Drosophila melanogaster: one gene and its partner. The protein of the gene in region 2 interacts with the protein of the main gene of each other region in a biochemical or structural test. Each region holds a gene or a part of one and is shown on either strand. Other genes may lie near its edges.

The links.
Region 1: of the proteins of CG30031 (region 2) and Rpn10, one has a biochemical effect on the other in vitro, tested with the Drosophila melanogaster proteins (one study listed by BioGRID).

What each region holds. Positions count from the first base shown.
Region 1 is NT_037436.4:21,535,263-21,539,384, forward strand, and holds Rpn10 (regulatory particle non-ATPase 10), read left to right. Parts: upstream 1-1,737; 5' UTR 1,738-1,850; coding exon 1,851-1,876; intron 1,877-1,977; coding exon 1,978-2,118; intron 2,119-2,178; coding exon 2,179-3,202; 3' UTR 3,203-3,320; downstream 3,321-4,122. Other genes in the region: ppk5 (pickpocket 5), read left to right, coding at 1-28, 81-291, 350-935, 1,487-1,599; COX8 (cytochrome c oxidase subunit 8), read right to left, coding at 3,810-3,905, 3,982-4,092. UniProt on the Drosophila melanogaster protein: Binds and presumably selects ubiquitin-conjugates for destruction.
Region 2 is NT_033778.4:11,348,837-11,352,373, reverse strand, and holds CG30031 (uncharacterized protein), read right to left. Parts: upstream 1,564-3,537; 5' UTR 1,548-1,563; coding exon 786-1,547; 3' UTR 753-785; downstream 1-752. Other genes in the region: gammaTry (gammaTrypsin), read left to right, coding at 2,519-3,280.

The DNA of each region.
Region 1 (4,122 bases), on a different chromosome or scaffold from region 2:
TGCATCCGTATTATCTTTATAAGTTCAAGTAGGGTTCAACGAAGGTCAAAAGAACGAATAACTTACTTACTCATTTAAAGATCGCCCTACATTCGGGACTTCACTTCGTCCGACAGGTTTGCAGATATCGCCGTGGACTGGGATCCAATATCTGGCTACCCACAGAGACTACCCTCAAGTTACTATCCGCGTCCGGGAGTTGGAGTTGGTACCTCGATGGGTCTGCAAATCGTTCTCAACGGTCACGTGGACGACTATTTCTGCTCCTCCACAAACGGACAGGGCTTTAAGGTAAGTTGTGTTGTACGCTTTTTGCCCAGCTAGCTTATACCTTTCAGATACCTTTCAGATACTCCTGTATAATCCGATAGACCAGCCGCGCATGAAGGAGTCAGGATTACCTGTGATGATTGGGCACCAGACGAGTTTTCGCATCATAGCTAGAAACGTTGAGGCTACACCCTCTATAAGGAATATTCACAGGACGAAACGCCAGTGTATTTTTAGTGACGAACAGGAATTACTCTTCTATCGCTACTATACGCGCCGAAACTGCGAGGCCGAGTGCGACTCCATGTTTTTCCTGAGACTTTGCAGTTGTATTCCCTACTACCTACCACTAATTTATCCCAACGCCTCAGTGTGCGATGTGTTCCACTTTGAATGTCTGAATCGGGCAGAGTCCCAGATCTTCGACCTACAGAGCTCTCAGTGCAAGGAGTTTTGCCTGACCAGCTGCCACGACCTAATTTTCTTTCCCGATGCATTTTCCACTCCATTCAGCCAAAAGGACGTCAAGGCACAGACCAACTACTTGACGAATTTCTCAAGTGAATACATGCGCAAAAACTTGGCGGTAGTAAACTTTTTTCACACCGACAACTATTTCAGGAGCAGTGTAAGGACTTCGTATACCGGACCCACTGAATATATGGGTATGCTATTTATTAAATTTTTTAGATCTTAAATACTTTCTACGTTATTGTTATATCGTTACTAGAACAGTAATTGCAATTCCGATAATATTCCGAGTCTATCAGGGATGCCCGTCCGTCTGATAGTATAAACGTCCATGTTTTTTTTTTTTTAACTCGAGGGGGTATTTTAAGTCGATTAATAAAAACAGTCCATGTAGTGACGATGTTCACCCGGAGTGTAATGCACAATAAGAGAGTGTGTAATGCACAATCTGCTTAAAAAATCCAAATATTACCGTTTATCAGAAGGTATTTTTATGCTCAAAGTTGCATACTTAGGAGTTAATTTATTTGATACAAATCAAATATTACTATTTGTCGTTACATAACGTATGTAACTCGTCACCTCGTAAGGAAATATTTTTGCTTGATTTTGCCTAGTACCATACAAAAGAGCTTCAGGCTTATCCAAAATTGATAAAAACAAATTATACAACTTTTATATAGAGATGGTTTTAGAATTCAAGGCAGTTGACTAAAGCGTTGTATCTTCCTTGTATCTTTTCCAGCGTCAACTGGTGGAATCATGAGCCTAATGATTGGTTTCAGTGTAATATTCCTTGCGGAGATAATATACATCATTTTGTTTGTTTCAACATTGTTGCTTATATTAATATTCTGAATTAGTAAATAAAATAAACAACTTTAAATGTGTTACATAATCTAAATTACTTTTCCACAGGACTAACATTAAATAATGGACTGGTGTAGAAAAATGTAAAAGAATGTACATATGTAAATATAATCAAACAAAAATATCGCACAACGGTCATACAAATCCGATATTTTAATGCCGATAGTTCAGGCAGCACAGCACCTGGCAACCCTGGGGAATTACAGTTCAGTGGCAAAGTGACAAGCAAAAATACGAAAATGGTTCTGGAGAGTACTATGATATGGTAAATTATTGTTTTTTGAGCAATACGAAGAGCTTCCGCTAGTTTTCCCGTACTGCTTGCAACGGCACACAGTCTGGCACTCATATTTTGCTCTTTTCCAGCTTTGATAACAGCGACTTCCAGCGCAACGGAGACTACTTTCCAACTCGTCTCATCGTCCAGAGAGATGGCATCAATCTGGTCTGCCTGACCAAGCTGCGTTCCAATCCCGAGAACAATGTGGGCCTGATGACTCTGTCCAAGTGAGTGTGGAGCGTTTGTGCCCATGCCACATATTCATTATGTCTTTGTTTATACCTCAGCACCGTTGAAGTGCTGGCCACTCTTACTAGCGATGCAGGACGGATTTTCTCAAAGATGCATCTGGTTCAGCCGAAGGGCGAGATAAACCTCCTGACCGGAATCCGAATTGCCCATCTGGTGCTGAAGCATCGCCAAGGCAAGAACCACAAAATGCGCATCGTGGTCTTTGTGGGCTCCCCCATCAATCACGAGGAGGGCGATCTAGTGAAGCAGGCCAAGCGCCTCAAGAAGGAGAAGGTCAACGTAGACATAGTTAGCTTCGGTGATCATGGCAACAACAACGAGATTCTCACAGCATTCATCAACGCGCTTAATGGCAAGGACGGCACCGGCTCCCATTTGGTCAGCGTGCCTCGGGGATCAGTTTTGTCGGATGCCCTGCTGTCGTCACCCATCATTCAGGGCGAGGACGGCATGGGCGGAGCTGGCCTGGGCGGCAACGTCTTCGAATTCGGTGTAGATCCCAACGAGGACCCCGAACTGGCTCTCGCCTTGCGTGTGTCTATGGAGGAGCAACGGCAGCGCCAGGAGAGCGAGCAACGTCGCGCCAATCCCGATGGGGCTCCACCGACTGGCGGAGATGCTGGTGGCGGAGGCGGCGTTTCGGGATCTGGACCTGGAAACGAAGAAAGTGCCGGAGCAGAGAACGAAGCCAACACCGAGGAGGCCATGCTGCAGCGTGCCCTGGCCCTGTCCACCGAAACACCCGAGGACAACTTGCCGGACTTTGCTAACATGACTGAGGAGGAACAGATTGCCTTCGCTATGCAGATGTCCATGCAGGACGCTCCCGACGACTCTGTTACCCAGCAAGCAAAGCGCCCAAAGACGGACGAGGCAAACGCTCCCATGGACGTGGACGAGGATTACTCGGAGGTGATCGGAGACCCGGCCTTCTTGCAGAGCGTGCTGGAGAATCTGCCTGGTGTTGATCCCCAGTCGGAGGCGGTGCGCGATGCTGTCGGTTCACTCAACAAGGACAAGGACAAAAAGAGCGACGGCAAGGACTCGCAAAAAAAATAAACCGCATCTATGATTATATCTAATAAGCTCGTTTAAAGCATTTGTATGCCCATTAAAATCATTTGTAGCCGTCTTTCAAATTATGCTTCAAGTGAAAATATATAAACAAATACACACGATCTGCTGCTGACTTAATTGACTGCGAGGGTCTTTTCATTCACTGCATGTCTAGTAAAAATAATTTTCTAGTCCTGATAGTGGCCGGTCGACTCGGGTAAGCATGTTTATTAGGGAAGCATATGCATAATGCTTCTTCTATCTGTCACTCACGACTCTAGTTAAAGTAAATAAATTGGATTCTGTACTTAAAGTAAATGAACTTGAGCTCATTGGCCAGTTTTTGAAGTTAAACACGGAAGAATTTAAAACATCAAGGATTCCGCCCGCCTCTTTTAGAGTCCACTTTACACCTGGCATACTGCGTTTTATACAATGTCAGTACCATATATCAGACACACGTTTATTTACAGCTGGACCATAGATAAATAATAAAATCAGTTTGTGGCTCAATGCACTATAGTTTATTTCCCCGTAACAGGGGCACTATTGATATATTGATGCTCTCTACTTTACAAGCGTATTAACTATGTGTGGTCTCGTATGCAGATTACTTGTCGCCCTTGTAGTCCCGGATGTGGTAGAGCACCCAGGCGGGAATGAACAAGGATGCAGCGCACATGCCGCCGCCGAGGATCACCTTCTCCTGTAATGCAAAAAGTGAAGGATCAGTTTTTCGCTTTGGGAATCACATCCTGGTTATGCAACAAGCTCAAACTTACGGCGGTGGAGATGCGCTGGGTCGGAGGTCCAGAGACGACCGACTGGCAACGGCTCTGCATGGCGCTACGCATAGCGGGGACCAGGAGGCGGGCAGCGCTGTTTTGGAACATTTTCACAAACTTTTTCGCAAAATACGCTGG
Region 2 (3,537 bases):
CATTCATTTCATTCATTTCATTCATTTCATTCATTTCATTCATTTCATTCATTTCATATCATTTCATTCATTTCATTCATTTCATTCATTTCATTCATTTCATTCATTTCATTCATTTCATTCATTTCATTCATTTCATTCATTTCATTCATTTCATTCATTTCATTCATTTCATTCATTTCATTCATTTCATTCATTTCATTCATTTCATTCATTTCATTCATTTCATTCATTTCATTCATTTCATTCATTTCATTCATTTCATTCATTTCATTCATTTCATTCATTTCATTCATTTCATTCATTTCATTCATTTCATTCATTCATTTATATCATTCATTCATTTCATTCATATCATTCATTCATTTCATTCATTCATTTTCACTGTGGAGTTTCTATCGATATGCCAGAAGAAAGATGCTAGTTCGTTCACCCTGACACTAGCTGAGTAACGAGAGTATCTGATAGTCGGGGAACTCGAATATAGCATTCTCTTTTGTTAAAGAGTAAGTTCGGTTAACATAAGTTAAACTATGTAGTAATTGATCGAAAACGGGTACCTCAACAAATTACCTTTAATTTATTAAAATGATTTAAACCATTATTAACCTCCCGACAGAAATCTAGGTGTTTGTTATTTTTCAGGAGGTGAGAATACATTTTTTAGAAGGTTTCCTTTCCCATTTGCTGAATAAGACACATTACTGTTGAATCAGTAATAGGTCAAAACCACAATGAAACATAATAAAAGTAATATCCAAACTGAAATTTATTTCGCATACTTCTTAGGCATTGCTAATAACCCAGGAGCGGAGGGCAGCAACATCGGCATAGACACCGGGGTAGTTGGAGTAAGCGCATCCGTATCCCCAGGAGACAACACCGACGAGGACTCCGCCGGAGACCAGTGGGCCACCGGAGTCACCCTGGCAGGCATCCTTGCCGCTGGCAGCAGCGCAGATCATGGTGCTGCGGATCTGGCTACCGTATCCGTAGGTGGAGGAAGCACACTGGCTCTGGCTAACGATGTTCACGTTCACGTACTGCAGCTGGGAGGGGATGGAGCTGGATCCGTAGGAGAGAGTGCCCCATCCGGAGACGGAGGCCGCAGCGCCGTTGGCGGGGTTGGAGCTAGCCAGACCGATGGCCTTGATGGTGGAGCTGAAGGTCAGGGCGCCGTTGATCTTGATGATGGCAATGTCGTTGACCATGGTGTTGGCGTTGTAGCCCTCGTGGTTCTTGAAGGAGGACACAGAGAAGGTGACACCGCCGGAGCTCCAGTAGCTGGATCCAGCACGGATCTGCAGGACGGAAGCGGACACGGACTGCAGACAGTGAGCGGCGGTCACGATGACGTTGCTGGAGTAGATGGATCCACCGCAGGAGTGGCTTCCACTGCGCTGCAGGGAGATCTGCCAGGGGAAGCTGCTGATGGTGGTAGCAGAGCCGCCGACAATGCGGCCATCCAACTGAGGCAGGAGTCCCTCAGGGACGGTGCCTCCCAGGGCGCAGGCTACTGCAGACAACAAGATCACGAACTTCAGCATGGTGCGAATCCAATGAGTTGACTCTAAACTGGACACCCCTTTTATACGAGTTTCCAATCTGTTCTTGGCACTATAATCACAACTTTCAATTATTTTTATCACCTGCGTGTCAGGAAAACCCAAATAATACCGTTGAAGTGCCCAAATGATATTCCACAACTCAGAAGTCGCACGGCTCTTTATCACAAAAATAAATAAAAATGCAAGGAAAGTGTAACTACTTTTATATTACCTTTCTAAATAATTCGCGTTCTTTTTATTATATTTAATTTGCAAGGTATTGATGGGAACGTCTTTTTTCGACTTACATATTTAAATAGGGGATTAAACTTGTACAATAACATTGTGGAATTTTTTAAAAGTGGATGCTTGTCATTCAACTTGATTTAGTTCTAATCTAATCCAATTATTATACATAATTGTGTGCATAACTATTAATATTATTGGCTTTTTAAAAGAAAATAACTGTTTAGCATTTTAATTTGTGAATTTTGTAAAACCATTAATTTTAAGAACAATTTAATCGCCTTTGCATTAATTTTAATTACATGATTATGCGTTCAATTGCATTGTTTTCTAGTAATGCTCATGATGTTTCTCATAAGTTATATAATTTCTTTTAAAAAATTATGGTGTCTGTTTATTTAAAACACAATAAATTGTTTATAGAAATATAAATTGTTTTAATTTCGTTTAAACCCCGATATCTTTATGTGACTATCTTTTTCAAGCTATTTAAATGACCAACTTATTGCAAAAAAAAATCGTTTGGCATGAATCTGGACTTTGTATACGTATATACTTCTTATTCGCGAAATCTATTTGTCGGTCACACATTTAAAAAATATTTTGGATTTCCCTGACAAGCAAGTGATAAAAATAATTGAAATTTATGATAAGAGCGCCACAAAGAGATAGGTCCCTGTATAAAAGGGGTGTCCAGTTTAGAGTCAACTCATTGGATTCGCACCATGCTGAAGTTCGTGATCTTGTTGTCTGCAGTAGCCTGCGCCCTGGGAGGCACCGTCCCTGAGGGACTCCTGCCTCAGTTGGATGGCCGCATTGTCGGCGGCTCTGCTACCACCATCAGCAGCTTCCCCTGGCAGATCTCCCTGCAGCGCAGTGGAAGCCACTCCTGCGGTGGATCCATCTACTCCAGCAACGTCATCGTGACCGCCGCTCACTGTCTGCAGTCCGTGTCCGCTTCCGTCCTGCAGATCCGTGCTGGATCCAGCTACTGGAGCTCCGGCGGTGTCACCTTCTCTGTGTCCTCCTTCAAGAACCACGAGGGCTACAACGCCAACACCATGGTCAACGACATTGCCATCATCAAGATCAACGGCGCCCTGACCTTCAGCTCCACCATCAAGGCCATCGGTCTGGCTAGCTCCAACCCCGCCAACGGCGCTGCGGCCTCCGTCTCCGGATGGGGCACTCTCTCCTACGGATCCAGCTCCATCCCCTCCCAGCTGCAGTACGTGAACGTGAACATCGTTAGCCAGAGCCAGTGTGCTTCCTCCACCTACGGATACGGTAGCCAGATCCGCAGCACCATGATCTGCGCTGCTGCCAGCGGCAAGGATGCCTGCCAGGGTGACTCCGGTGGCCCACTGGTCTCCGGCGGAGTCCTCGTCGGTGTTGTCTCCTGGGGATACGGATGCGCTTACTCCAACTACCCCGGTGTCTATGCCGATGTTGCTGCCCTCCGCTCCTGGGTTATTAGCAATGCCTAAGAAGTATGCGAAATAAATTTCAGTTTGGATATTACTTTTATTATGTTTCATTGTGGTTTTGACCTATTACTGATTCAACAGTAATGTGTCTTATTCAGCAAATGGGAAAGGAAACCTTCTAAAAAATGTATTCTCACCTCCTGAAAAATAACAAACACCTAGATTTCTGTCGGGAGGTTAATAATGGTTTAAATCATTTTAATAAATTAAAGGTAATTTGTTGAGGTACCCGTTTTCGATCAATTACTACATAGTTT